4 linked regions of the Drosophila melanogaster genome follow. The protein of the gene in region 1 interacts with the protein of each later gene in a pairwise test. Each region holds a gene or a part of one and is shown on either strand. Other genes may lie near its edges. The genes, in order: Hey, btsz, TwdlM and CG30160.

Region 1 (8,692 bases):
GCCGGCTTAGCTAACCGCCGCGGATTGGGTGCTCATGTGTTTATTATTGCTGGGTATGCAAATTTCATAAACCGTGAGCGGCATTCATTGACCCCCAGAGCTCGCTGACCAGCGGCTAGTGGTCGGTGGTCGATGGTCAGCGGTCAGCGGTTCTCGTTGGTCCAGCGATGCTAATGAGCACAGTGGCTGCTGATTAGACCCGGATTACTTCCGATTCAATGGTCTGGTATGAAAGATTCTATATTTTCAAATCACGTGTATAAAATACAATTTATGTAAAAATGCCAAATGGATACGAATTTTGGGGCATCCCTACTTGTCAGGTGGCAGATATCCAAATCGCATTCGCGCCTGCTCGTACAAAACGAAGGTGATAATCGTATTGGGTGACACTCGTATCAGGGCCGGAATGAATCCCTTGTAGAAGGCCAATGGGCCCTGTTTGGCGGTACTCAGAAAAGCACCTCCGATCCCGGAGAACTCCCCCGGCTGGGCGTTCATGAAAGTCGTCTTGATCACATCGAGCGGCTGCGTTATCACCACGGCAATGCATCCAGCTATCGTGGATGTGGCAAAGTGCAGTGGTACTCCCTCTCCTGCCCCCGTTGCGATCTTGAGCATCTGCTTTACTTGGTCGTAGGCTGCATTCGTTCCGATGGTCAGCAGGACTGCCCTGGAAACGGCCGGCACTGTGCCGCGGAAGAGACTGGACACGCCCTCCTCTTTGTAGATGCGGAAAAGGCCGTCGAAAACGTGCTTGTAGCTGCGGAATTCGTCTTAATTATATGACTCGTACGTATGGGGGGAAGAAATTTGCTGTCCTAATGACTAATTATCAATAGCAAACCAAAAAAGCACGTGGAGATGAAGACAAACGAACAGATGGACAAAGTCTGGGAGATCTATGGTACAGGAGCCCCCGGTAGTACTCACTTACGTCGCTTCTCCTCCGGCAACTTGACGTCGTTCTGGAGTCGCACTGTGACCACGTCCCCGGGTACACCCACAATCCCACCGACGATTCCCGCAAAGGTGGCCAGGGCCATCTTGGAACTAACTTTTTGCGTGTCGACGTAGTCCTTACCGGCCTCGTACAAGGCGAAGCGAGTGGTGGTATAGGTCAGCTGGCGAAACCAGGAGGCCGAAATGCCATTGTAAAAGCCCAAGATTCCGCTCCGCTCGTGTATGCCTTTAAGGATCTCCCCCACGGTCTTCCGGTCCGCTTGGGATTGGGTCTGCAGCTGTACCTTGATGAGATCAATCGGATGGGTGCCGGTGACTGCGATTGCAGCGCAAACCCCTCCAAACCACCAGCGCGGGAGGCGCCTCGAACTGTCTTCTCCCATAGACCGAACTTAATTTCTTGGAATTTTTTTTTAGAAACCCTAAGCTATCTGACGTGTAAAACTAAAAAGAATTCGGTAAATTTTTCGCTGCAACGAATTGTTCCCATTTAGCTAAGGATAATTCAGCCGCTATGACGGCGAACTGGTAGTCCTCGCAGTGACAAAGCGCACCTCAAGAATGTTCGTTAAAATTAATATTTTCTCTGATAATCCAATAATAGCACTAATCAAAGTATGCGTCATTGATATACCTCAAATTTTTGAATGTGGATCGTCACTACTTGTTTAAACTTTTTTGATTGTTTTTAATAATTATACCCGTTACTCGTGGATTATATATATTCTTATATATTATATATTATATATATATTTTTGATCGGAATCAATACCTGATTCAATCTGGCCATGTCCGTCTGTCCGTCTGTATGAACGTCGAGATTTCACGAAATATAACAACTAGAAAGGCTTTCCTGATCCGAATATCAATTATCAAGCGAGTTTCAACATATTCACTTATACACTCATGCGTTTATTTACAATAGATTCACAAAGTGTTCAAAGTTATAGTTATCATAGGGTATAACTTAAGCTTAAAGGCTTACGGGACTAGCTAATCTCACTGCGTTGTTTCTCCATTTTTTTCTCTCTGTGTAGGATGCGAAACTTAAGACTATCACACTTGGTCTGCTCTGACTAGAGGTTGAAATATCCCTTCTGAGGCTTATGCCCACAATCAATAGGCCATCTCGGCGCCCCAAGGACGATAGGGCTTTGCTCCGTTGGGAGTGGCGTACTGCAGCACACTGGAGTTGTTGTAGTCCTGGCCTGGCAGTCCGCTGACCGGATACTGAGGAGCAGCACTATAGCTAAGGCTATCGGAACCTATGGCCGCTGGACGATTGCTGTTGGTCAGCTCTATGTAGGTGGGAACCTGCTGCTCGGAATGCACTGCGCTGTGGTCGTGGGTATAGTGTTGCTGCTGCGTCGGCTGAGGTGTTGTCTGCGTCCGTTGCTGTTGCTGCTGATGCTGCTGCTGTTGGTGTTGCTGCTGCTGCTGCTGTTGCTGCTGCTGTTGCTGCTGCTGTTGGCTGCTGCTGTCAGAGTGGAGATCATGGCTGGGCAGCGATTCAGTTACGGCACTTCCACTTGTCCGCGAGACACTGGTGCGTCCTCCCAGTTGCTGAGCCTGCTGAGAGGGCGAGGCACTTAGTGTGGGGTAGCTGGACACATAGGCACCCGGGTTGGCTGGCGCCGCATAGCTCTGGTAGGGAGCAGCCGCACAGTTTGGCTGATAGCCGGAGGAGCTGGGAGCAGCCGGAGACCAGCCACCCGGACTGGCGCAGCTCTTGGCCGACAGTTCGCGCTGCTGCACAAAGTACTGGAGGTGGGACATAAGGCGCAGGCGCAGAGGATCCTGAATGTCCATGCCCTCGATGGTGACCAAATAGCGGGCCACCTCTGCGGCGCACTCGCGGAACCCAATGATATGGTAGTCCATGGCCACTCGCTGCGGATCATAGCTAAGCGAGTCGAGAGCTGCAACAAGATACGAGGAGGTGGAGAAAGTCAATAAGCTGTCTAATCCCAGTTCAGGCAAACAATTAAAATAGCTGTTCCCACGCGACGAGCATAAAGAACAACCCCCATGTCCTTCGGCGGGATGGCTTGTTGTGAGGTGGCTATCGGGGGGTGAAAGCCCGCGCCTGGCTACAAGGTTGCCATCGTGGTGGTGCCGCTACTGAGCGTGGGAAGCCCCGAGATTCGAGATTCACTTGAGCGCTAGGCTGGCGCTGGTGGTGGTGGTCCTGCTTTGCCTACGGCAATCATAATTTTCCCACAATTCGACCCTGTTCGGGACAACAGGTCAGGATTGTTTACCCAGATTTGTGATAATTTGCCGCATATTGTATTTAATATCGTTACTCAATTGTTTCCCACAGCGGCTTGCGTTTAGGGATTCTGCTTGCAGTTTTTCCCATTCCAATTTTTTATAATGTATTGAAGTTCATATGTATGTCAGATATGCCTTGATTAATTAGTGCGCTAAATGGGCCCTAATGTAATATTAACTGTCGAAATAAGAAATTACTTTCTTTACACTTTACTTCTTTTAGTTAACCAACTTAGTTGGCTGCCCAAGTTAACCCTCTATTTGCTCCTATTGTGATTAATGACCCATAGAAGCGTTTAACTTCAGTGAGGAGGTCTGTGGTGCAGCTAGCCTATTTGCTTTTTAAAACCTCTTTAAGCTAGCTCAAGTGGGCTTGGTAAACTTACTTTTAGACTGCAGACTCTTGAGATGCTCCACGGTCAGCTGAAGGATTTCGGCCTTCTCCAGCTTGGCGGATCCCTGCTTCTCGTAGGCGGAGGGCACCAGGCGCTTGAGTTCGGTGAGCGAGGAGTTGATCCGATCCCGCCGCTTCTTCTCGATCACTCCGCGTCGCTTCTTGCGGCTCATCAGTTGGCAGCTGCCCGGCTCACTGGGCGAGATTCTAATGGAACAGAGGAAAGGGTTTCTATTAGCTATGGATTGAAGTTAATGATAGATTCTTAATCTTAATATCTTAATCTTTCATAGACTGAAAAACACTCTATGGTGTTACTAAAAAAACCTCTAAGTTACAGAACATTTTAAAATCTATCTTTTCTTAAAACCCTATAGTTTAGTGATTTATATTTTGATGGTTTATCAGCAACTTTGCGTTAAGTGGAGTTATCCATGACTTCGATTCACTAAGTAAATATCATGACGCACTATTTTTTTTAGCAACATAAAACGTTTGCACATCGCATGGTATTTTCAAAGGTTTCATTTTACAAGACAACTCCTAACTTGGGAACTGCGAATAGCTTTTTGTGCACTAAATTGAAAAACAAATTTTGATAAGAAGTCACGAGTACGCACTGTTCCTTGGAGGACTCCTCGGAGTAGAGATCGTCGCAGTCGCTCTCGGAAAGCGTCCGCTTCAGGCTGCCGATGCCGTGGCTATGGCCCTGGCTATGCCCGTGGCTGTGGTTGCTGTGGGCGCTGTGGTGGCTCTGCGGCGGCGGCACCCAGTGGCTCTGGGGTGTGGTGGCGGTGGCGCCGGGCATGACCACGCCGGGTCCGGCGGCGTAGCCCCAGTGATGCAGCGATGGCGCATTGACGTGCATGTTGTGATCCATTGTGTGTGGTGACCAGTGTTTACTCGCTGCTCCTGCGCACTTGACACTACTGTGTTGATGTTGCTGTTGCTGAGCTGTAGCTTTGCGTGCTGCTAGTTGCAGAGGCAGATGCAGTTGGCGGCTAGACCGGGCTGGCGGAGCTAGTTTGAGCACGTGACTTATCGTGTGCGCGAACGGCGTTCGACTGATTCTGTAGCACACGTCGAGCGGACGACCTGCCCTCCGCTGCCGCCGCTCAACCCCTTTTTACCGCCTGCGGCAGCCGTCCAATAAGATGCAGCAGCAACCACCCCCTGGCAACGCGCAGCGCGTGCTTGCCGAGATTGGGGTAGGAAACGGGAAGCAAACATATTCGCCGCGCGGCGATCGCCGCCAAGTGAGCAAGTGAGAGTGTGCGACAAGGAGCGACCAGCGCCGGCAAATGAGCAAGCCTCTGTCATCGATTCATCCGATTGTATCGCCCGACCATCTGATATAGCCTTTCAGCAGCCTCTAAAGCATCTAAAGCATCTAAAGCATCTGCAGCACGGCCTTTAATCGGCGCCGTGGGCGACAAACTGGCGGCGTCCGCCGTCCACTTGTTTGCCGCTGGAGCGGCTGCACCCGTCCATGGAACTCAAACTGGAGCACGCGCCGGTCGTGTGGCATCGCGTGGCGCCGGGTAAAGCCCCAACAAGTGCAACAGCCGCCGTTGACCTCTATCTGTGCAGTGGGACGCGTGCTGGTGGGTGGCCCACACAGTTCTAGGTCAGTGCCGGCTCAAGGTTGCGGCATCCCGGGTCCGGAATGGGAACGGGAACATCCACAGGTGCAGAAGCAGGAGCAGGAGACGAGATAACAACGACTGCGGCAGCAGGTGACCGAAGTTGACCTAGAAATTGCCCGAGGTAAAATCGACTTGTTTACCTAGAAATATGCTAATGCGGAAATAATTCACTTTAATGTTATCGAAAGCAGCGTTTCATCACAAAGGGATATAAGGAACTTGGATGGCGACGGTAAAACGTAAATATGTTGTACAATTTTACGAAAAAGCAGACGTGAGCTTTATCTTTTTCTTTATCTTTTTGATTTGCCATTATAAACTCTTAGATGCGCTTTGTCACTGCATTTCGAATATTCACATGATTTAATCCATTCTAAATTTTTTGCTGAATTGGCTAATCTTATAACTTCCTTAATTGTTCCTTGTAATTGTATGAACGCTGAGCTCTCGGGAACTATAAAAGCATGAATGTAAAACTAGTTACTAGGATTAAGAGCTAGATTGTTACAGAAGATTGCAACGCCTACTCTTAAGGACACAAACCGGCTAAAACTGCCACGTCCATACTTTTGCAAAATTGTCATATTTTTTAAAAATATTTTGGCCACTCCCAGTCTAATGGCCACAAGCTGTCAATCTAAAACTTTTGAAAAATGTTTTGATATTTTTGATTTCACTATTTTTTTTGACAGCTTTGATCGCTATTCCACCAAAATTTGTCAGTTTTTCTAATGATTTTACAAGCTGAGATAGTTAACATCGAAATTAACGTTCTGTCTGTTTTGGTTAATGTTTCCCCATTAACTTTAATGTAATATATTTTGACAGTATTGTGTTCATAAATTCAATATAACAAGCTGATCAATGTCAATATTACCTATAAATTTTATTATGATAAACTATTTCATCCAAAATTTCCCATTATTTCTTATATCAGCCGCACGGAATGTGTGTTTAAAGCTAGCAGTAGATTAAAAACAATTAAAATGCGAATGAAAAACAGTATACGGTGGAGCTGATATATTTACATATATATGTACGTTGTGGTTTGACATAACTTTCCCTAATAAAAACTATACTTGAATTATCGTTATGCAAAAATAATTCTTCTGTAGATATCTATGTTAAAATGTTCATTTCAACTCCTTTGTCCTGTCACCCTAAAGAATCCCAATATTGCTATATGAATCCCTATACTATTGTATATACTTTTATATCCCTTTACTATTATATGTTGCAATTTCGCATATAACTGGAAATATCATTAGTTATTCTCCCCCACAAAATGATTTAGTGTAGCATTTCTCCCATTTTCTCGATTAATTTCGATGGTCGAGGCGTAAGCTTGACTATAATGGAGCCCCGTATCAATTTCAAAAACGTACATCAAAATCGAAAATTATAAAAAGTGCTTTTCATTTGATTCGGCATGCTGTCGCTCAGGTTTCGAGTGCGGCAAGCAGCAAAGTGAAAATGCCTAATGTCTAATGGCCAATGCCAGTGGCAGTGCCAGCGTGGGACAAACTCGCTCCGAATCGCCGGAACCCACCCCAAATCAAGTGGATGAATAGTGGCGGGCAAGTTGCACCACCGACAACGGGACGAACCCACGAAATCGCAGCCGTGGCTCGTGGGAAAGCCAAAGGTCTACGGATTCTCACGAGCGTCCAGCACACGTGCGGGTCGTGCGCCGGAATGGATCGATGGATGGATGGGTGGGCGATGAACTTACTCCCACCCACGGGGCACAGGGCATTCGCATTCGTATTCGCATTCTGAAGTGCATTACTCAAGGTATGGAGCCAAAGGTATGGCGCCGCACACACATACACACTTTATTGTTAATGGATATTCTCGAAAACAACTTTCTATAATGAAAATTGCGGTCTACCGACTCAAATACTCGATTACATATATGTATAATATACTCGTATGTAGGTAATTCTCACAAGACTGGTTTTCGTGCTCTATCGCTGGACGCAAAGTGGAGGTTACAAAGCCGCCGAGTGTCCGTTTCCGGTCTCAGAAGCTCCTAAGGCAAAGATTGCAGTTGTTTCCGCCTACTGCATTGTCGTGTCGGTGCAGCTCCAGGCTGAGGGGCTCCGTGTCGTCCACCCAGGTCTCCAGGGTGCAGGAGCTGGACTGGTGGCTGGACTTTTGCGACTGGGAGAGGGATCTGGTGGCCGCCGCCGCCTGCCGCCACCTGGCTTCGAAGTCATCCCAGCGATCGCAGGCGTCGTCGTCCAGGGAGTTCCCGTTGATGTCCCACTTAACAATGGGGAAGTCGTCGTGCGGTGGCTCCATGATCACCACGCTGTGGTAGTTGCCCTCCAGCTTGGAGCCCAGGCTGATACTGCAGGGATGGTAGCGGCTGGGCGTGGGAATCCTTTGCTGCACTTGTTGTTTCCTAGGAGTTGCCTGCTGCAGCACTTGCTGTTTCCGCGGAGTAGCCTGCTGCTGCTGCTGCTGCTCTGGCTGCTCCTCCTTCTGTTCCTCCAGCTGCAGATCCAGACTGGAATTGGAGGGCGTGTGCCGCAGGTAGCGTACATTCGCCTTGTATTTCACCCGCTCGAACTCGATGGTCGTTAGTGGTGTGTCCAACACCTCGTAGTTGCCGCAGCTCATCATGTATTTGGTGCGCAGGTCATGCTTGGCCGCTGGCTGCAGTTCCTCCACCTCCACCTCCTTGGAGGTGGCCAAGTCCAAGGCCTGGTTGCACTCGCTCAGCTGCAGCTCTTCGTAGATGGCCTCCGTCACCGGACAGTTGCTGTTCACATCCAGCTCCAGATCTCGCTGCAGGTTGAGCTCCTCCTCCACCTCCTCGTCGTCCCCGTCCTCCTCGTCCAGCCGCTGGACAAAGAGCTGCTTTGAAGTCGATATCTTGCGCAGGAACTGCAAGGACAGAAATCGATACGGATAAACATAGCGTTAGCGGCCAACGCGGCGTATGATTAACGTGCCGAAAGCACGGGCATGCGAACTTTACTGAACATTCTCATGCGGCGCGGGTCGCCATCGATTTCCTATAGATGGCCACCCATTTGGGCGCCACGCGAGGACTAACCTTCAGACAGGACTTCTTGGTGCGCCTCAGCAAGTGCGACATGCTGACGATGTCTTTGTGTCGCTGTCGCTTTGTACCTCCCTAATTGAACGCTGCAATTACAGTGGCTATTGTTGCCCTTCCATCGGAGTTGCGTCCGTTAGCCGGGGCATTTGCCTCATCGCCGCTGCAACCCGTTGGGCTATCCAAACAAAACTGAACGAGGAAGCGCCGCGGCGAACACTCGCAGGTGGAGCAAGGACGCCCCATGCGGCGCTCCTGCCCAGTGACTCATCCTCGCGACAGCGGCTCGAGTGCACGCAGAAAAATGAAATGTTTGAAGTGGTAAAAGTTGAAAATTTAACTTTAGAA
Region 2 (8,382 bases), on another chromosome or scaffold:
TAAGTGCAGCTCAAGCTTATTCATCTGTGGCTTACTGGCCCCAGTCAGATACGAGATACACTCACGTACACCAGATAGAGACAATTCAATTTTAGCCAGCTTATGGCCATTGTTATGGCCATTATATCTAGCTAACATTTCAACCGCTGACCGTTGGCGTTGGCGAAACAAAATGAAATAAAACGCTCCACACTCGACTTGACTTGGGCTGGCATTCAATAAGAATTTCAGTCCATTCGGGGACATATTGCAGCCAGCTGATGCTACGAAAAATAAAAAATATTGAAAAATAGAGAAAGAAAAGTGTGCGCAATAATAATTGTAACAGCAACTGCCAACAAATCAATAACAACTCACACTTTGGTCCACTTCGAAGCTAATGCCCTACAAAATTGTTACGATCTGTGGGCCTTGAGCTAAAAAACAAGGAATGAGAATCCAACACATTGCTACTTATTTTCTGAACTGATTTCAATGATTCTGATTCATTTATTCTAAAAAGTTCATTGAAACTCTTAAAGTTTTCAATTGCATTTCCGTTGACCGCCTTCGATGTGGGAATTCTTTTAGAAACAAAAAACTTACAGTGGCGGTCAGAAAAATGTTACTTTAAATTTATGAAATATATATATATTTAAATTTAAATAGAATGCTGTATATGTCAACTTTCTGTGCGAAATCTAGGCTAGTAACTACACTTTTACTAAAGTCAACTAAACTATTATTGTTCTAAATAATCGTATCAATGACTGTTTAAATCAGCCCCATTTTGCGGCTTGTTTACAGATTTTTCCGTCACATTCACAAAAGTGTTTCACAGCCATTTTGGCCATTGAATTTGTCAAGCTCAAAAAACGCGAAAACAAAACAAAGTCGGCGGCAACCATTGACAGACTTGTTTTGGCCAGATTTTTGTTTCTGATTATGTGTGTATTTTGCTTGACTGCCGGGCGGCTCAATTGCGCTGCTTAATGTGATTTGACCAATTTGGGTTCTGTGACCAAAGCCAGAGCGTTAATTTGCCTATAATTATTCTGGCATGTCTATGAGATAATTGCACCATCGGATCTGTCGGATTATAATGAACGAATCGTGGCCAATCTCGCTTTGAAATTAAAGTCAGTAGCTAGTCAAGGGTATTCGATGAACCTTTAACCACGTTCTATGCCCTTACTTTCATAAGTTTATCTTGCGAGGCATCTTCACTTGGGTTCACTTTTGATGACACTCGTTAAAAGACAGTTAACCCGATTTGGATTTAGCTTGATTACTGTTTTCGCGACCAGCTTATTCTGATGTGGGTTTATCACTGGCCAGACATCTAACCGGCCAAAAGCCCAACCCAAAGCCAAGCCAAGAAATGTCTCACATAAAGCTAACTTACTCTGTTGTGGCAGCTGTTTTCATTTCGATAAAAATGCAAATACATCGAAGAGCGGAGAGAAAGAAAAATATCGTTATTAAACTCAATAACTGTCACCGTTTTTTGCATAAATTATAATAAGTTTCTGCGGCTGGAAAAATGCTCAGCCGAACTTCTAAAAGATATTCCATGTTTGCAGCGGAAATAGAAAAAGGCCGACAAGCAAACAAGATGGAAAATTAAGGAAGCTGGCGAAATGATAATGATAAATGTTTTTCGGACCGACGAAAGGGGGCGTAGCTTGGAATGAATATTTATGAATGATTAATGAGGGAAGAGGCGTGGCCCCCCCAAAAGGTGGCCCAAAGTCAGAGTTGATGGAAAATCTCCAATTACCTCGTGCAGCGGCCAGGGTTCACAGCTCCCTGGTCAATGCACCGCAACTTATCTGGAAAACTGTCAAGCTCCTTATCCACAATTCCACGGCATACACATGACATAATGCCCAAATATTTGGATCTTGGGCACATAAATAAGTTCAGCAAGTGTGCTTTAATTGTACGGCGCATCTGATAAGCGCTCGCAACTTAGCTCATTTCAACCTTATCGCCGAGCAGAAGACAAAAGTAAATGTACGTTATATGTACGTTTATTCCACAACTAGCATGTGAAAAAACCATTAGCATTCTGAAAAAAAAAAAAATCAGTGTCAAGTCGAAAGTCAAGAATTTTTGAAATTTATTATGGCCATGCCGCAAAGTGCTAATTAAACTCATCTGGCTGCCGACAGACAGAAATGCGAGATACATACGTCTTACTTAGTGAGGGCAACTTTTCCACACAGGTGACTCAAGTTCTTGTTAAACGTGTCTCTTGAAATCAGCTAATGCGATTGGAGTGTGGGAGGAATACCTAATGCAACTACATGTATTTTTAGGATAAAGTGCCATTAGATTTAAACGAGACTTTATTTGTAGTGTTAGGTGTTTGGAATGGGCCTTAAACACCTTTTCGTTGCATTAAAAATGTATTATTTAAATCAAATGGTGTAAATATATAAGGAAATTTGTTGGTATTATGATTAATGATAGTATAATAATCTCTTTTCAGTTCGCTTTGCTCAACACGATCTTTTACGAGCTAAACACACCCTCTTCACACCTACAAGATACTTTAGTACGTGCTGAACCACTTATCTTAAGTATCTTTATCACATATGGATGGTTTGTTTATTTAAATGAATAGGTATTTTAAAAACCTCTCGGAAACACGTTTTTCACCTCATCATAGGACGGAAATTAGAACAAATATTTACCATAGGCCAAATTAAATTAAATTATTAAATTACATATGTATATCTTTAGTTGCTTTTTTTTGTTGCTATGAAGTAACACTGTGAAATCATATGATTAGGCGCGTTGAGTACGTTTCGTATCCAATCATTTTGCTTTGTGGTTTTAAACCAGCATTTAAAGTATCTGTGGAATATGATTAATACGTGCCTTTGTCTGTCACGCTTAGGGAAATCTTTTCAGTCCACATCATTGACAAGCTTGAAGACTTTTGTTTGAGAACGCCCTCAGATTTACTTGGATACTTTTTATAAATAGGTGTGTCTTTATTGAATTGAGGGTCATGGAATTTTGACAATTAAATATTAAGCTTCTGATTAACACTTTAATGGTTTTCTAAGCCATTGCATCCCCCCGTGTCGCTTTATAAATATTACTTTTAAGGTATGAGAAATAAAGCGGAACTTTTGAAATGCATCTATTTTGTGCGATATTCAGAGGGCAAGTGTTACATAGTCTCTTTTCTATTGACAACATTGACGACTATTGTTCGAGAACGCCCTCAAATCACTTCACACCTACAAGATACACTGCTGTATCCAACAGATACCTGTCCTATTTGTCATTGTTGCTGCGGTGAATTAGTCATGCCAGGCCCGAGTTGAAAGCAAATGTTATTGCTCCTCAAACTCGTAATTCCCGCATCGCCATGGTCGCGTTGCGAATCGAGCTCCAGTTCCAAACGTAAATTGAACTTGGTAATGGTAATGGTGGGGAATCTTCGGCGATGTCACGGCGGCTGCTATGCAAACATCAAAAAGTCTCAGACGTGCATAAGAATTAAGCTGAGCTTGCAGCAAGAAAAGGTAAACAACAAGACCAGACGAGGGCTGGTTGGGGAAAAATAAAGCAGAAAACAGAAAAGTATCTGCAAGATACAAGTTCCTCGGGCGGAGTGGGTGCATCCACACACGCGTGAGCTGTGTGTTCACAATGTGCCCCTCAAGAGACACATATATAGTACATATACTCTTACAGCTACAGATATAAAAACAGAAACGACGGGTCGAAATGTCCGGGGAAAAAACAAGGAGACAGTTAAGTATCTTGTACCTTTGCGGTGACGCTGATTCTTTGTTCTTTGACTCCGCAGCTTAATTAAATTTATAAACCGTTAAAATAATCAGAGCCCGGTTGCGGATTCCTCCTGTGCAAGCCCCATCTTTAAGCTGTGAAGAAAGCAATTACAATCGCTTGTATAACCAAAGAGAGAAAGCTTCTACCCATGTTGATGTGTGCAGTTTAAAGAAAATATACACACTTTTATATCAAAGTCCAGGAGATAACGGATTAAATCAGAAAAACTTCGCGTTCCTGAGAACCAAAGTCTATGATTCCAAAGGGATCACTTATATTTGGTTCAATTGTTCTGCCATGATTGAACCATATAACCATATAAAGATATGAGTATGTAGACGTTTGTAAATACCCATAGCTCGAACAGAACTTTCTTAAGCCCAGATTAAATTTGTTCTTTGATTATTATATTCTTTACCTTAGTGGTTGCGAGATACTTTTGTATCCAGTGCCGCCTGACCGCTTGTGTTCGTAGAAATGGCTTGTGCAAACTTTGGAGATCCGCCAAATTCTGCGTTGTTTGGCTTAGAAATTATCCAATTCGTTTTCGGAGTTCGCTGGGTTCGTTGCTTTCGTTGCTGCTACTTTGCATACACCGCCGTTCGATGGCGATTACAGTCGCTGCGTGCGGTATCTTCGAGATACATACGTTTGGTATTGGTGTGTATATAATTCTGATATCAGACCGAATAAAAGACACACAAAGAGGAGCACTTCGGAGGCACAGGTAGACGGAATGAAATCACACAAATCTTAAACCGGCAATCTCATCGCACTCACAGATACACACGCACACATGTATCTTATGTTTCAACAGCGGAACGGAACGACGACGTTCGCTCGGTTCGAGACGCGTTCGTTGACTAAAGTCAGTTTGCCAAGTCGATCGGTGGGATTTGAGATTGAAACGCGGCCAGCGGTTGAAAGCAACAGGTTGAAAGCGGCTCTTTCTCCCTCTCTCTCTCCCTCTCTCTGATGGTCAGAAACCGAGATACTGAGATACTCGGCTACTCAGATACTCAGATATTGCTACCTGAGGCGCCCTTCTCGCATTATCATTAGGCCGAATGCTCGACGGCGACGTCGCCCGCTATCAGTTTAATTACGTATGAGAAAGCCACTCGGAAAAGCGCATTGTTCTCGTTCTCACTCTCCCTCGGTTTTTGATGCCCGGATTCGCGTGAATTGCACTTACTTCCCAAACTGGATGCATTTAGGTGCATATTTATACACTGCCCGTCGGCAATTTGATCCCTGCAAGGGTATATGCGCTAATAAAGTAAAGTAAATTCGGGAGAAGCTGAACTTTTGATTTTCAAAATTAGTTAGGTCTTAAGGTGAATTCAAAAGCTATCATGTCATATACTTAAGTGGTGGAACTTTTTTAGGTTCCAATGAAATATATTGTCTTAAATTCCTTATCATATCAGTCAGCTAGAAAGAAATGAACAAATTTGAGCACATAAAATACATTCAATGATTCTCTGTAGATAAGCCTATTAGTGCAAAAATATGTCAAAGCAAAGCCATTTAAACTTCTTGTTTGTATGCATAATTGAGTTTATAATATTAATAGGCAAACATGTACCCACAAAATGATAGCAAAACTATTTGCTTTCGTTTGTTATTAAATTAAATTACTGAAGATATTACTTATCGTAAACATTGCGTGCTATGTCTAATATCCTTAAGCTATTTGATATTTAAAACCTTTTGGCATGCCATAAATTATCTTGAAATGATCGGACTACATATTTGGATTGCATTGCGATAAAGTTGCGTTCATATTCGCAGTTTTTTAAGTGAATTAAAGTTTTTGATGTCGGCAAAAAGTTCTTCTCCGGTTTTCATTCGCAGAGTGTCCAATATCCGCCTACATATGAGTGCGATTTCACTCTTTCCCGTCCACAAACGTGTGAATTCGTGCAGCAAACATTTTCACATGCCCCCGAGTGCAGTGGAATTTGGAGTGCAGTTACAACCATAACAATGGCCACTAATAGTTGACATGCGGCACTGACAAATATCATAGTTGTTGAATAGCATTTTAAGAGTATATTTAATTAATGCTGGCCATGCGCTTTGGGAATGCCTACTGGCCCCAGGGCCATTGTTTGCGTTACAAAACATCTGGCATATGTGGCGTTAATTACAAGTAGAATTGCCCCTGGCACCCCACCTCAATTTACATCTAAATTGCAGGTGCTCCAGGACACCCGTGTCAGGTGATGTGTAATCAAAGCCGCTGCCACAGAATCCAACGCAGTTCTTGCTCCTTCGAGCCGGTCAATGGACTCGGTGTCACCTAATGAGTCGATCCCAGGCGATGAGTGGGCGTTAAGCGGCCAATTAAGTCGGCTGATGACCAAACCCATAAAGCCAGGTGTAATAAAAGTATACAGCGATGCCAGCCATGGTAACTGAGGGCTTTCACAGGCCTCTTTCGCTGACTGAGCCAAAGTTTTCAGTTCACTTTTTGATGGCCATCACCGGGAAGTGGAAGTTCGCCCGCCAGATGAGCAGCGATTCGCTGGCGTAGCCTAGCAGCAAGATTATAATTAAAAGTAATCAACGACATTATCAAGCCAAATGCTAAGGCCAGAACGCGAAGCATAAAGCCAAGGCTAAGCAACGGCAAAAGGCGAAAATCCAGAAATTCTGCGGCGCAACAAGTCAAAGTAGTTGGGCCCTCGGCCGTGGAGCTCTGTCACTATACACATAAAAAAATGGGAGTGTTTTGCATTTATTAAAGCACATTAAAGTAATGGTGTATATATTCAGCAATGCAGAGATGATTTTTTTTATCGTGCTTTAGACTGAACACTTTTTGCGGTGAGATAACTTTTTGCTGACCTGCTTTCCTTGAGATAGGTTTAATCACTGTTATCAGATTAAGTTTTATCACAGTCTAGATTTTATTTCAATGGCAGAAATAATGAGTGTACATTTTATGCAATGAAATGCACTTTAATTAATGACATCTAAAAAAATAGCTTTTAAAGCAATGTAAGCTACAGAAAGTATTTTATTCTTAAACGAATATGTAAAAACATTCAGAAGAACTTCTGTGCAGCTTTCGCGTCGAATATCGGAGCGTTTCGAATGCGGCCAACAAAACATTTAATTAAGTTCCCTCTGCCGGCGAATGATGAACGAGCGCTCCATTAGATTTAATTTACTCAACAAGTATTACCAACATTATCAGTGTTATTAGCTAGATGAATGTGTATTCCCCGGTCCCCCATTCCGTTCCTTCATTTGTGCCAGTATTCGTGCCAGTATTTGCTCACTGTGCAAGTGTGTTTGTTAGCGGAAATGAAGTAAGTGTGCTGATGCTGCCATCTTGGGGCCACTGCATTTAAATTTCACAATAAATGTATCTTAAAGAGGAATTCTTAGTCTGGGATTTCCAGACTTCCCGAAATTAAAAGCTATGTATAATAATATGCTTAATGTTAAAATGGTTTTATATATAGTTCTTATAGCAAAGATGTAAAGGCACCAAGGATAACTTAACCAGTTAAACCTTCAATTAAATTAAAGTTGTAATTTCCATAAATCTGTAGTAGCACAATATTACAAGTTCGTTCATTGTCTCATTACAAGTACAAGTATTTCCTAGTATATTATTAAATATAATGTATATATACGATGGTAATAAGTGCAGAATAAACGGTCACATAATGAGGTTTTTTTGCATAATCCAAACTTTAGGTGTGGGGCTACTACAGCCCCTTTGACATTTGGCATTTTACATTTCTATAGAACGGTGGACTTAGTTGGCTTAATGGGAATGCTTTCATCAATTGCTGCCCCAACTGGATCGATGTCCACCCACGGGTTGAAGGCATAAAGGACATCGCAGGACCTGCCACATGTGACCTGCTGGGCGACAGGCACTTCCTTTCGCCTTGCGCCCGCTGCCAATCTCCAATGGCGCTTTTCAATTTAGCTATTTCCGCCCCAACAGTGGCCAACATGATTAAGCAATCAGAGGCGACTGTAAGGCGCAACACCCGCCAAATGAGCCAGGCCAACCAACGAAAGGAATCGAATGGGGAGGGCGCCAACTTTGTTGCCGGCGGAAGGGATTTATGTGTTTAGATTACTTGAGCCGGCAAGGCCAATGGAACCGCTTATATGTTTATATGATGGCCGCAACAAAACCGTCATTAAAGTGTACTAAGTTGGCCAAAAGGAGCAAGTACTCAATATAAGTTGCCAAAGCACGTCGACTCATTAATGACCCTCATAAATTTTTAATGCCTTTTTGCTGTGATTGCATTACGTAATATATCATAAAAATAATTAATTATGCACCAGGAAAGCTGGCGTCCCATCAACATTGTTTCGCAAAAAATTAATTCGTTTTCAGAGGAAATTCAATTTAAAGAATGCGAAATATATCGTTCGATTGTTTACCAAAATTAATGATTTTATAGGAAATTTGTATGGCCAGGAAAATAAATTTTGTTGTCATCAATAAATTTTCCCACATTTCAGAGTTGTTTGAAACACGGCCAAGAAACTGAGCAGTGTCAAGGCTTAAGGTCTGGCAATGTCGTCATGGTAAACTGAACTCATTGTATC
Region 3 (7,130 bases), on another chromosome or scaffold:
CGACAGCTCAAGGTCGCGAAGATGCCAACAACTGTTAGATGACCTGGTTTCCGAGGCCCGTCGTGTGTCACGTACAATTAGAAAGGAATCTCAAGTGCAACCCACATACGAAGGCAATGAAGATTTATGCCCAATCGAAACCTGATTAGCCATAAAAACAAAGTCTAATCATTAATTTTATTAAGCTGACGATCACTTTTTTGTTGAAATCATTAACAAATAAGCGGTTCTGTATACATATTCAAGCAAATATAACAAAACAATCCGATTGAAACAGCCAAGAGATCGGTTATTTTTCTTTTATTTGTGCATAAATTATAAGCCAATTATGGGTGAATCACGATAGTTCGGAAAACGACTGGACTCGCAATCGGATCTTAGCTCGGACTCGGACTTCGATTCGGAATCTCATCTCAGTCGGCGGCACGATTGAAGCTGTCTTTTGCCCACAACAATGTGTTAAATGTGTTAAGAGCGAAATTATGTTAGCAGATTAACAGCATTCCGAAAACCCGATGGCCAATAGCCACTGGCCATTCGCGAGTCACGATTCGTGAGCGGAGATCGATGATCGCCGTGTTCCGCCAGAGGGACCCCAAAGTGACTAGACGGCTCAATTGACTAGATTTTCTAGTCTAATTTTAAACGTCGTCGCGTTGGCGGTATAAAAGGTAGATAATGAATGCTATATTATTCATTCGTCTAGAATATCTCGTAGGCATCGGGTCAATATGCGTGCCCTCATTATTCTAAGCATTGTGGCAGCGGCAAGTGCCGGTAGCTTGTCCGGATATAATTACGGACAAGGTGCGACAACCAGTATTGGGGGCAGTGGTGTATCCCCAGTCCCTGCACTGGCGGGACCAGTTAGCTATAGTGCCGCTCCCCAGGCGTCAGTTCACAAGGAGTTCTACAGCTTCTATGCCAACGATGACGACTTCGAGGATAAGGCTGCTCTCCAGAGGGCTCTTGCCTCGGTCAAGAAGAACATTCGCGTCATCTTCATCAAGTCGCCGGAGAACCGTGGCTACGAGAATGCCGTTTTGGCCCTGGCTAAACAGGCGGCCCAGCAGCAGACTGCCATATATGTGCTGCACAAACAGACTGATATCAACGAGCTGGCCCAGAAATTCAATGCCGTGCGCCAGAATGCCAACAAGAAGCCCGAGGTGCACTTCGTCAAGTACAGGACACCTGAGGATGCTGCCAATGCCCAGCGGGCAATCCAATCGCAGTACGATCAACTCGGCGGCTCCAGCCAGTCCATCAACGGTGGCGTGGCTAATGCCATCAACTTTGCATCCCAGGGAGCTGCTCCAGCACGCGTTACTCCTCAACAGGTGCCCCAGAGCAACTACCTACCCGCCAACATCCTGAGTCGCCTGCGTCACTAGAAAATCGATTGTTAAACGTTGTTTTCGAATAAAAGTTATCTAATTTGGTTATGTAAATTATTGTATTTTCATTTGGTTAATTCCTTTAAAAATTGACGAAAGCAACATAAGTATGCAACAGTTTTCAAAATAAATTGTATACCTATTTATAGCAGCGATAATCGAATAAAAACAGAAAGAAAGAAGAAAGAAGAAATAAAAATACTTGTTCAAAACCCAAGATCTCAGCAGCCATAAACTGGTATTAAATTTTGAATATGGTTAAAGTATAAACTAGTTCCTAAGAAATATATAAGTGCTTCTACTTATGTGCGCTTTCAAAGTTTGCAAGAAAATATTTCGCTGCAAATAAATCCGAACTTGCGAAGTTTCGTTCCCAATGAACTCAGCCTGCAAAGTTTTTTGGTTTTTACAAATGCACTACAACAAGTCAAATTGGTTTTAAAATTTAAGAATTGAATTTATTTAAGCATTAGTCAACAAAAACTACGATTTAATATCAGTCAAAAATCGCTGGCGTTTTCGATTCCGAAAGGAGTGAAACGAGCGACTTAGACGCGACGGAAGACCGAAGATGGCAGGTAGGAGTTGTCGGGGCTCTGGGCGGCGGCCTGACGCACTGGAGCGGCGGAAGCGAAGTTCAGGACGGGGGCAACACCACCGTTGTGGGCCTGGCTGGATCCTCCCAGCTGGTCGTACTGACCCTGGATGGCGCGCTGGGCGTTGGCAGCGTCCTCGGGAGTGCGGTACTTGACGAAGTGCACCTCGGGCTTGTTGTTGTTGTTGCTGCGGATGGCGTTCAGCTTGTTGGCCAGATCTCCAATATCGGCCTGCTTGTTCAGGACATAGATGGCGGTCTCCTGCTGGGCAGCCTGCTTGGCGAGGGCCAGGGCGGCGTTCTCCAGGCCACGGTTCTCGGGTCCCTTGATGAAGACAACGCGCAGGGCCTTGTTCAGGGCAGAGGACACACGCTCCAGCTGCTGGGGCTCATCGAAGTCCTGCTCGTTGGCGGTGAAGGTGAAGAACTCCTTCTCCAGCTCGGCGGTTGGGGCAGGGGCGTTGTAGGAGACGGGGGCACTGAGGGCGTCACCACCACCAATGCTTCCGATGCTGCCAATGCTTCCACCACCAATGCTGCTCAGACCACCCAGACCGGCACCGCTTCCGATGCTGGCTCCAATGGAACCACCACCAATGGATCCTCCGATGCTGCCGCCTCCGATGCTGCCGCCTCCGATGCTGCCGCCTCCGATGCTGCCTCCTCCGATGCTGCCTCCTCCGATGGAGCCACCTCCAATGCTGCCACTTCCAGGAGCAAAGGACAGTCCGGAGCTGGAGTGTCCCACGGGCTGGTAGTTGTAGCCGAGCTTATCGGCGCAGGCGACTGCCACCAAGCACATAACCTGGAGATAAAGAAAACAGCATTGTAATCCTTGGTATCCTTTTGGAGTATTTCGTCGGCGATCGAACGTATACTTACAATGAAGGCACGCATTTTGAATTTAGTTCTTTGACTTTGACCACTTGGTTGTGTCTGACGTTTGCATCACCGAAAGGTCCAATATTTATACGAAAACCAACGATCGGTGTCACTAAACTGCGCTCAAGTTCATGCAGACTTTACCATCGTTGTATTTGTTGGCTCCGCAGCATTTTTTGGTAACTTCTTCGGCAGCTTTTGTCTCTTGAAATGCTATCCACCTTCGAAAAACGAAGCTTGTGCGATAAAACAATGGCCAAGCCGACGTGAACAAAGCGCATCGATACCTGGCCGCCCTATTCTTGCAAATGTTGGCGTCGACATTATGCTAATTCCACGATCCCTCAGTCCAAGTCGTAGTACCATCATCGAAAATTTTTAGGCACACGACCCTACCCGTCAAGTTGTAATCCAATAGAGCAGGCTCTCGGCGGAGGAAACGGCTGAAAACTCGTTTAGCAAAAGCCACTACTATAAATGGTCATGCTTTCAGTAAATGAAATGATTTTCTTCATATTTTGTATGCTAAAACATTTAGCGGAGCATCCAAACGAGTTCGAAAACGACTCGGTTTTTCTACACTTTTTAGTTGATCCAGCCGCATATTTCTAGCTGGGAATCCCCAGCGATTATTGCGTCCCCCTTTGGTATTTGGAATATTGTATATGGTATATGGTATGGTATGGTGTATGGTGTATGGTGTATGGAACTGGCTGCTCTAGGGTTTGGCCATATAAAACCCGAACACTGGACTGTGGACTGTGGTAGGGTTGAAAAACAATGGATCTGAAATGGATAGAAATCAATTTTCGCCAGCCTTTTTGCGCATCCATTCATTCATCCGTCCATCTATCCGACGGCCCATCTGTCCATTTGTCCGGAGCTCGTCGCTTGGCCATTTAACCTGTGGCAAAAACACGGCTTCGCAAAATAGAAGCCATAAAGCTAACAACCGTTGCGACCTTGAGGTTTTTTACTGTTGACCAGCACCCGAAGCTATTCGGAATTCGGCGGTAATCAGCTGGCGCCAGGCGACCATTTAATCTGATCAGCGATTATCACGTTTTTCATCATGGTTTATTGATATCATAAAAATTATGGTTTTTTATTTTATTTCGGCAAAGTTTTCGAGCAGAAGGGGGGTAGAGGCAGCAGCAAATCCGCTGAAAACTGATTTGATTTGCATAATTTAGGAGAAATACCCAAGATCCATATTTAAGATAGCCGAACCGATTTGCAAATCAATAGTGGCGAATGCCAATCGCGGTTATGACTAATATATATATTGATTGATATCACGGATAACTATAGCGATGAGTAACTCGAAGATGGGGTCAGTTAGGAAATCCGCTAAGACATCACAACCATGATATCATTTTCAGTGACGGACACACACAAGTTCTATATGGTTCTATATCTAATGATGCTATATGATGCCCCCCATTCCACGCTGGCCGGGATCCAATTAAGATTCACATTCGAAGCAATAACCTAAAGTCAAAAACAATTTGTCTTGGCTTTGTGTGCGGCCCCACCTTTTGCCCACTGCCAACTGTTGCGGCTCGCCGATTGGCCAGCATCTCAGCCAAGTTAGTCGCTGGTGGCAATGTCATATGCAAACTAATCAAATGTAAGCATAATAAAACAACCCAGCCACAATTTCAAGGTCTCGGGCGCCACACGCACATAAAAGATGCACGCAGCAGCGACATAAAAAGTGGTCAAAACGCGGGAAAAGAGTTTCCAGCACGAAATCGAAGATAATAGCGGTCGGACGACGTTGGCGTATCAATAAATAAATAAAAAAAAAACGGCTCAAGCGGACAAAAAACATCTACGGGAGGGAATTTCTGGCACCACTTTATGTAAATGGCCTTTTGGGTCAATCGATCTATTTACAAAATCTGACACTGTTTATTATTTTATCCATTATTTTTAGTCTTTCTCTCTTCGAGACAACAAGACTGCCCCTATATTATTTTATTGCCATTGTACTGGCACCCACCAGAATGTCGAAACGAATAAAATTGTGCATTTAATTTATTCGGCTATCACCTGGCTGGTGTCAAAACCGGGCGGTGCCTTTCAGGTGCAAAAATCCAATCAAATCTGTCGCCTCACCATAAATTGGAGCATTAGTAATTTCCTTAAATCATAAGCTTTATTTACGAACGACAAATTTGCCAGTTAAACCCCAGTTAAACGAGTTTGTTTGCTTCTAGCCTTTCTTTTGCAAAAATGTTTGGAGCTGCCGGCTTTTCGAACTCTTTTACGAGCAGACCGTTTCTATTCTTCTCTAGATACGAGTTTTAGTTGCCAAAATTATTTCCGCATGCCTGGCGACAAATAAAAAACAAAAAATGTTACCCAAAAAGCTGACTGGCTTGCCGCAAAATCGTTTCTCTTTTGCAAAAGAAATATATGCAAATATATTAAATCTGATATGCAAATAGCCGATATCAATTATTTCAAGCGCAAAAACCCGAACCAAACCATGGAAACTAAACTAAAGCTTATGCTAAAAAAACGCAATATTTTAAAAAACCTATCCGAGAGTGCTGAAAGGAATAAATCAAATCAAATTTCGCCGAGCTGGCCAATTTGTTTGGCAAATTGTGTTAGCGATATAAATATTTTGTATTGACAATCAAACGGCAACGACGACAGATGCTGATTATTATTTTGCGTGTTTATGTATTTTTTGCTTGCAACCAGCTAAATGGCCGAGATTATTTATTAAAAAGTTAGCCATACAAGAGATTTCTGTTTGTGCACATCAGCCGAAAATGGCATAAGAAATCAACAATAGGAAAAAATATAGAAAATATTAAAAAAATATGCTCTATGCTTTATTTCTACATGGATAGAGCGATAAGAGCGGCAAATAAATTTGCGGCTTTTTGCGCGATCCTTGGCACCCACAAGAAGGCAATAAATTATTTTCGAGGTCTCCTTAGTACGCATTCTGCGCAGTAAAAAACACATTTTTGTCTGCCTTATAGTGCATATTGTCGTCGACGCTTGAGCTCTCCATTTTATTTTAATTGCAGGCCTGCCTCTGCCTAATGCCAGCTTAATGTCCCAGTTTTCAGGATCCCGGACTCTTTACGAGCAACAGCACGGTCCCAGTGCAAATTGTCGTTTAATTTATTAAGCAGCGACTATGCCGGCATTTGATATGAATATGTGTGTGCAAAACACTAATTACAGATACACCACGCCCACAGCGAACCGGGCGCAGCCAACATGCATATATATAGTAATTAGAAAATAAGAACACATAGGCTTAAATATAGCGCCCGTTCACAACTCGCTGGTTGACATAAATTTGGGCCAACGCTGCGTATACGTAATGAAAGCAGTTTCACAACGGAATGAATCTTTAGTAGAATGACTAGGGAAAATCAAGTATGGAGCGAGGCCAGCCAGCTACTTTTATTCGTTAAAGTTGTCCAAACTGGTTGATCCAACTATCACCTGGCTGACCTGGGCTTTCCCAGTCCCGTCTCGAAATTTATCGGCAACTTGAACTTGAAGATGTCGCCATGCCAATTTGCATTTCTAATGAAAACGTCACCAGAACTCGACCCTCTGCGGTGGTCGAGCATAAGGCTTTGTCTTCGGGCCGAGAGGGAATTAACATATTTACATAATACCTACTTTGTAGTAGGTGCACCCCGTTGAGTGGTTGTTGTGTGAAATATGCTCAGATGAGTGGGCTAGCGCTCTTGCTTAATTGAGGCAAACAATTTCTCATTTGGGATGGGAGTGGGTTATGCCTTAATGTTTTCTTGTTACTTGCCGGAGGCCAAGTACATTTCGGCAATTGTCTAATGTTTCTACAGGACAAAACGAGTGTTTGCCTGCTGACAACAATTGGGATTTTTAGCATGCTCGCACTCGAGTTGTTAAATATTTTTGCAAGTAATTTCATCAGCACGTTGGGAATTTGATTTTATGGCATGCTTGACTTAAACGAAGGTCTGAGTGCGTATACTTGATATGCTTTAAGAATGGCTTTAGCTTTGACTTTCGGTTTCACTTCGCCAGGGGCTGTCATATTGGATATTCCTGGGCGCCACTCGACATCCTCCGGGCCCCGCCCACCATTCAGCGAAGCCGCCCCTTTATGCGCTGCACATGACAATGAGCAGGAATCGTGGCCCATGCTGGGATATCGCGCATTGCCCGCACTTGTCACGTCCGAGTCAATGGGCATGGGCTTCGGGATTGGGAACTGGGCGGGGTCACGGGGT
Region 4 (6,923 bases), 990 kb from region 1:
AAGAATAACATAAGTAGTAACTGATAAATAGGCGAAATGTAGACGTATATATTAATATTGGCACGGCTCGAAAAACAGTTTGTTATATGGTAACATAAGTAGACATATGTAGATCCTTTGGCCTTTGGCTTGTTCCTCACAAGTTTAGGCGTACACCTGGCGACCTGCGTTCTGGCTGCGCATGCAGTTGGTCAGGGCGCCGGCGATGAGGAAGACGACCAGGTCGAAGATGCAGAGGCCGAGGCCGGACCAGCGGATGATGTCCATGTTGTCGTTCCAGAACTCCTCGAACTTGGCGCTGCAGCCGGGCCTCGACTGGTAGACCGAGGGGGTGTTGCATGTGGCCTGGCGGTCCAGGTAGCCGCAGCAGGTTCCGGGAACCGAAAGGCCGATGTTGTTGTAGTTGGTATAGCTCGTATCACCGCAGCAGCCGAAGGTTTCCTCAAGAACGCCCATGGCAGTGTAGTCATGGGAGTCCCAGAGCAAGTTAACCAGATTGGACATATCGCCCAGGAAGGCAGATCGGTTCACGAACACCCAGCACGTAAGCACCAGTTGCAGGATAAAGAGCACAAAAACCATGCTGGTGTACTGCAAAGCATTCAACTTCAATTAGCTCGAATTCCTTGGGATATGCTCTTCACGCAAACTTACCGCGCCGGTCATGCAGACACTCTGCCGAAAAATGCCGTAGCACCCGAAGAAGGACACCACGAAGATGAGGCCTCCCAGGACGGTGACGCAGATGGGGATGGTGTTCGGGTCCGTCCCACTCCCCGCGACATCGAAGCGGCTCAGATCGGACAGCATGATCGAGCCCAACACGATCAGTAGGATGCCAACGATCTGGAAGTATTCGGAGTATTACTAGAAGGCATCTCTGGTTGCCTAACAGTTTTATGGTCATAAGCATACCACATTATAATGAATGTTTTATGGACTTCTAATTATCCGGGAATATCTATGTACTGAAAACTTGTCCGCAAACTGGACTAAGATATGAGCTTTTAAAATAGCCTTCAGGATGTCGGTGACCAAGATTTACTTAAATTTCTTCATTTGATTCTTTAAGTTGACAAAGTGATTAACAAAGTGAATAATCAAGTCTTATACTTGCATACAAATTAATGAAATTCACAATCAGACGGATATGGCTAGTTTAAAAACGTAGCTGATAAAAAAAACAAACGTTAATCACCTTTATCTTGTTTTTGGCATAATTCTTAAGGTGAAAAATGTATCTTTTAGCTGCGTTAATACTGCGAGTAACTACACATTTATTTGGATAAATAATAAATCATTTGTAAATAATAGTTTGTTGTATTTCCTTAGTTTATTCTCTAAATGATCTTTTATTCACTCCAACTTAGCCTTGCTAAAATGTGAACTTGTGTGCATGTGTGCCCCCTTTGAAGCTCATTTTGGGCTCATTACTTATATTACAAAACACTGATAATGTCAATCAACTGATAAAATTCTGTATGTCCGTCCACACTTGCATTACAGATAGATATTATTATCTATGCCAGCACATTTATATGAATAATAGTGTTAAACCTTGTGACTCAAAGACAATCGAAAGGAAGCGACCGATGCGTAATTTATGGATTTTCAAATTTCATTTCACTTGTTTTAAATAATACATGTTCGATATTTGTTGCACAAATATTTATTGCATATGACTTGATTAATGAATGACAGAAGTCAGCTAGAAGGTCTTATATGCAAATAAATAAACATCTACAGTTTGATAAATAAATTAACATAATTAATGGACATTTTTTGGAAGTTCATTATAACACAAGTAATTGGAGAGTATGAAGTTATCCATAATTGGAACCTATTTGGGATCTGCACCCAGTAGTGTTTGGTCTATTGTTACACGTCTCATTACATTATTAATTCCTTTTACTTAGATACTCAACCGACAAGCACTTACCAAAAACACGATATTGACAATATATAAAATAAAGTTGACTATTCCCGATAGACAACCCATTTTGAAAGTATATAGTTTGCTCCTGTATTTAGTAGAATTAAATAAACACTATTGTTTTATCCAAAGGAGTTGTCGGTGTCTCTGATTTTATCGCGCACTCGCGTCGTTTACTGTCGTTCGATTGGACTGCTCCTCCAGATGGGCTACTGTTTTTAAATTGGCCAACAGACACGGGCGCTATCGGAGGAAAGATACGCAAGTGCCTGTTATCATAATCATGGCCGAAACGAAAAATAGATAATGGGCACTGGGCGGCGGGCGGAGATCGATAGCCATTGCCATATGGAGGTGATTCACCACTACTGAGGGCATTCGATCTCGGAAACGCGGCACTCGGCTAACAGGCCGATAAGGACATACTTTTTGGAAAAACATCAACCTGTCTTGATTAGATAGACGGCAGCCAGAGGTAGACAGCGAATAAGCAATAATATTTCATTGGGCTTAACCTATTCTGGTTTATTTACGGTGAGTGAGTGAGTGAGGAATTCGTGTGTTGGATTTATGCTATGAACTGGGCTACGTCTAAGGATTGTATCTGACTTCGGCTCTAGCGCTTCCTCATCGCGCTGGCCAGGCAGCACGACATGATGAAGATGCCCAGCTCGAAGAGGGCGATGATCAGACTGCTCCATCGAATCAGGTCCGTATTGGAGGCCCAGAAATCGACGAACTCCTGCCGGCAGCCAGGTCGCTGGCTGTAGATCTCCGCTTCGCACACCTTGGTGCGATCCTTGTAGCCGCAGCAGGAGCTGGGCACGGTTTCATACTGTTGGTATCCCGTGTTGCCACAGCAAGAGAACTGCAATGGAATAGATACGTAAATATCCGGAAAAAACTAATGACATCTGATGGTGAATTTCGATAAACTTACGGCCAACTGGAGGGCATCCATGGGGTATCCCTGGGCGGCATTGTTCTCATCCCACGCCTTGTCCACTGCCTTGCCCATGCTGGACAGGAACTTGTCGTTGGCCGCGAAGATCCAGATGGAGAGGGCCAGTTGCAGGCCGAACAGAATCAGCATGCAGATGGCGTACTGAAAGGAATGCCAAGTCATTTAGAATCCAATTTCGGTCAGTGGGTGATTTCCGAGTGCTTACGATGGTGGTGCAGCAGGCGTTCTCGCGAATGGTGCCGCAGCATCCGAAGAAGGCCACTACGAAGGTGACACTTCCGATGACGATAATGCAGATCGGGATGGTCTGGGTGTTAACGCCTCCGTCGAAGGCCGTAAAGTTGCCCATCGTGGAGAGCATGATGGAGCCCACCACAATGAGCAGGATGCCACCGGCCACGAACACCAGGTTGAGCAAGTACAGCAGGTACTTGAACATCGCGGATAGACAGTTCATGGTGCTGGGTTCTGTTCGGGTTTCTCGTTGGCTAGCTGGATAATCCGTTCGTTCGATGTGACGATGTTCGTCTAACTGAATGGGCCCTCGGACAGAACGCGGCTATTAAAGCTTACTCGGAGTCCTCATCTTATCGGCTGCGCTCTTATCTCGGCCATAAAATTCCGTATGTACTTGTGCTGGAAGCTCCGATGCCCATGTACTTGTACTTGGTGAATCGCTTTGCACCCACGAGATACCAGATCATTGTGGTGGTCCGAACCTGGGAAATTACATCCTTGGCGCAATGATTCATTCAACGAATGGTAGGTGCAAACTGCTGGTGGCGGAATTTTATCTAGCCCTCGTGCGATTCCATCTTGGGGGCGTTAGATCGTTCATAAGATGAATCATTCACACCCTCCACACCTTGCCTTATCACCAGTCAAGAGTACGCGGTGCACGCTGACTCACATATTACGTTGCTTGGAGTCCGTTTCCCCGTGAGTCCCCGATCTTATCGCCTAGATTTATGTACTATCAATCGAGCAATAAACCTTTTAGCGAGTGCACTCCCAGCCTAACTTCAACAAGATTTTGGCAACTATTGGGGTTTCCACGGCGGAATAATTTCCCATTGACATTCACAAAACGGCTATGTGCCCTTCATAGATAAAATAGCTCAATGGAGATAAGATTTCGTCTGAGCCCTAAAAAGCTAACTAACTAAATATAGTCTTCTGATAGGTTAGTTCTACGGAAATATGTCAATAGAGCCAATGATTGATAATGATCTGTAATCAAAGTGTACTTGTTGGTTTCGGCCAACTCTATTTATACTTATTACTTTGCAGATTAAAACGTTATCGCGAATGGCCGAAATCCTCCCGTGGCAATTTAGAAAAATAGGTGCTTTAGGGATTAAGTCGAATTGCAAACAATGTAAGCTTTCCCATTAAGACAAAGACTGAACTCTTTTCGTAAATTGTAAATAAATTTCTCCGTTTATTGCAATCTCCAGGAGTATAAGTTATTTTGTACAGTTAAACATATTAGCACATTCAGTGTAACTTTGAACAAACGATCTTACAAAAGTGATCGTTACGCATTCGTCATTGGATTTGCTGCATTTGCTGCTTACGCTTGAGATTATGCAAATTTGAATGGCCATCTGTATCAGGTAAATATTCGTAAAATTGGGCAACATAATTCGTACTTTCGGTTTCAATTAAAATTAGTGCAAGGCCTTAGTCCTTTGTCGATTAATATTCCGCACGGCGTCTATAGTTCCGAATGCTGTTCGCCAAGCAACAGGCGAAAACGAATCCCACAAACTGAAAGCAAACAGAGTATGGTATATTGGAAGATATACATGTAGGTGTAAATCTCATAACGCTTATGGTAAAATAACAAACTAAACTGCATTGCTACGAATTATGATTTACATTACTTAGTACTTTTTGGTTATCCCCAAGAAATCACAATGGAAGGTAGGTAACATGAACCCATCCATCATATTTTCGAAATTCACATGGGGAAGCACCTAGATTCGATGATCGATTTCGTTCGATTGCGTTACTCTGGACAATAACTTACTTCGATGGCGGCGATGACCAGACCGGCATACTTGATGATGTCGCTGTTCCTGTCCCAGAACTCAACGAAGGTGACCTTGCATCCCCGCCGGTAGACGGTCTCCCAGCGGCAGTTGTTGGTGTCGCTGCAGCAGGAGGGAGGGAACTTGCCCTGGTAGGCGTAGTCGGTGTAGCCACTGCGTCCGCAGCATTTCATCTGCGGGAGCGGCAGAAAGTCAGTTGAAGGCGGGTCACATGTCCTTGGAAGTCCCTAAATACTTACGCTGATCTGAATCGCGTCCATGTAGTCGGAACGACTGGTGCGATGGTTCCAGGCCTTCTCGACCACGTCGCCCATGATCTCCAGGTACTTGTCCTTCTGCACCCACATGTAGATCACCAAAGCCAGTTGGCCAATCATCAGGACGAACAGCAAGATCGAGTACTGCCACAAAGAATACATTTTGAATTGCAAGATGAATGGCACGATGCAGGATCAGTACTCTACCGTCATGGACATGCAGTAGGATTCCCGAATGGCTCCGCAGCAGCCGAACCAGGAAATCAGCAGGATGATGGTGCCCAGGATGATCATCGTTACGGGCACCTGCTGGGTTCGCAGGGCTTCCGCGAAGTCATCCATGTTACGGACTTTGCTGAACAGCAGAGCTCCGAATACGATCAGCAATATGCCGCATATCTGAGGAAGGGAAATGTTGAGTTTATCAATCCTGAGCCAACCAGGGTTGTCTAATCTAACTAAACTTGAATTCTCAAGCCCTCAGATTTTGACAGAAATTGGTCAAAAACAATCACTTCATATCCGTTTTATATTGGACTTACTAATCATGTAATAAATTAATACAGTTCTAAGTTATTTATGATTTAATTTGATCAAATGATTTGACAAGATTTGCGATACCAAATCGCCTGAAGAATATTCATCCATATAAATGCTGGCTGGGATATCATTAGCTTTTTTGTTTCATTAAAAAGCTTGTAGGCGTTAAAAGCTCATGCCTGTTGTTCGACAAATAATATGCACTGCGAGAAACTGGAACTACTTCCAGGGACATGCATTTCAATATTTGCGATATGGCGAAATCACCTGCTTTATTATTAAAACTACTTTCTATTATTGCCCAGTTCTTCGGCGATTTTCGTTTATAGAGTTTCAGATTGGCTATTTGCATGGCTATCACAAGCTTATCTCTTATCAATCCGATTCGCTTCGTTAATTAAGATTATGCATAAAAGCGCCTGGCCATCGACGATAACTATTAAAAACATATTTACTTTGGCTTTGATTGTATCAGTTGACGTAGTCATTAGATTAGATCCACCCCCAGCCAAACTATAGTTCATAAATTCGTAGGATTGCGCCAAACTGCAGCATGACTCAGCCGCCGAGCTCAGCGGTTCGTGGGATCAGAATAGTTAGCATCGCATCCGATCAGAAGAGAGCGACATTTCGACACTGGTCCACAATTATAATAATAACCAGTCCACCCACTCGCATTCGTCTGGCATTTCTAGATCGCCCTCCCTCGGAAAATTGAGTTCAAGTGTACCGCCAACGACCCCCGTGTTTCCATTCCATGATGTGCGTGTGTAGATGATATTTCGTTGTTTCCGAGTTTTGGCTCGTCGTCTCACAATGGGAGCAAGTTCACATTAAATTAAGTCAACTATTTTTGGGTGAGACCCCCTTCCCCCCCCCCCCCCCCCTCTTGAACCATTACACAACTTTCCACTGAAGTGGCGGCAGACTTTACACACAGACAAAATATTTGTATGTTTCCATGTTGGTTCTTAAGTTAATTGCAGCTACTTTAAATTATCAAAAAGGTTGGAGAACTGCGGATTGGAACTCTTGAACAAATCAAATGACCTATTTCAAGTAGATAGGTCATCCATCTCGTTTACCGATTTCCCATCAACAAAAAATGGTTTTGTTTTGTAAATTTTCTATATCCGTATACTGCATACGATTGAAGAATTAGCGCCGTGTGCTGA

Evidence for each region.
Region 2: the proteins of Hey (region 1) and btsz interact in a two-hybrid assay, tested with the Drosophila melanogaster proteins (one large-scale study listed by BioGRID).
Region 3: the proteins of Hey (region 1) and TwdlM interact in a two-hybrid assay, tested with the Drosophila melanogaster proteins (one large-scale study listed by BioGRID).
Region 4: the proteins of Hey (region 1) and CG30160 interact in a two-hybrid assay, tested with the Drosophila melanogaster proteins (one large-scale study listed by BioGRID).

The regions. Positions count from the first base shown.
Region 1 is NT_033778.4:7,993,582-8,002,273, forward strand, and holds Hey (Hairy/E(spl)-related with YRPW motif), read right to left. Parts: upstream 4,698-8,692; 5' UTR 4,512-4,697; coding exon 4,252-4,511; intron 3,839-4,251; coding exon 3,624-3,838; intron 2,883-3,623; coding exon 2,080-2,882; 3' UTR 1,857-2,079; downstream 1-1,856. Other genes in the region: Dic3 (dicarboxylate carrier 3), read right to left, coding at 313-763, 934-1,346; CG11191 (uncharacterized protein), read right to left, coding at 7,300-8,169, 8,342-8,383. UniProt on the Drosophila melanogaster protein: Transcriptional repressor which acts as a downstream effector of Notch signaling.
Region 2 is NT_033777.3:14,849,263-14,857,644, forward strand, and holds the start of btsz (bitesize), read right to left. Parts: upstream 4,658-8,382; 5' UTR 4,211-4,657; intron 1-4,210.
Region 3 is NT_033777.3:26,614,926-26,622,055, reverse strand, and holds TwdlM (TweedleM), read right to left. Parts: upstream 2,939-7,130; 5' UTR 2,890-2,938; coding exon 2,875-2,889; intron 2,798-2,874; coding exon 1,946-2,797; 3' UTR 1,832-1,945; downstream 1-1,831. Other genes in the region: TwdlP (TweedleP), read left to right, coding at 732-1,394.
Region 4 is NT_033778.4:7,001,649-7,008,571, reverse strand, and holds CG30160 (uncharacterized protein), read right to left. Parts: upstream 3,416-6,923; 5' UTR 3,355-3,415; coding exon 3,103-3,354; intron 3,039-3,102; coding exon 2,874-3,038; intron 2,802-2,873; coding exon 2,550-2,801; 3' UTR 2,436-2,549; downstream 1-2,435. Other genes in the region: Tsp42Ec (tetraspanin 42Ec), read right to left, coding at 145-591, 655-846, 1,940-1,999; Tsp42Ea (tetraspanin 42Ea), read right to left, coding at 4,596-4,667, 4,930-5,124, 5,191-5,352, 5,416-5,607.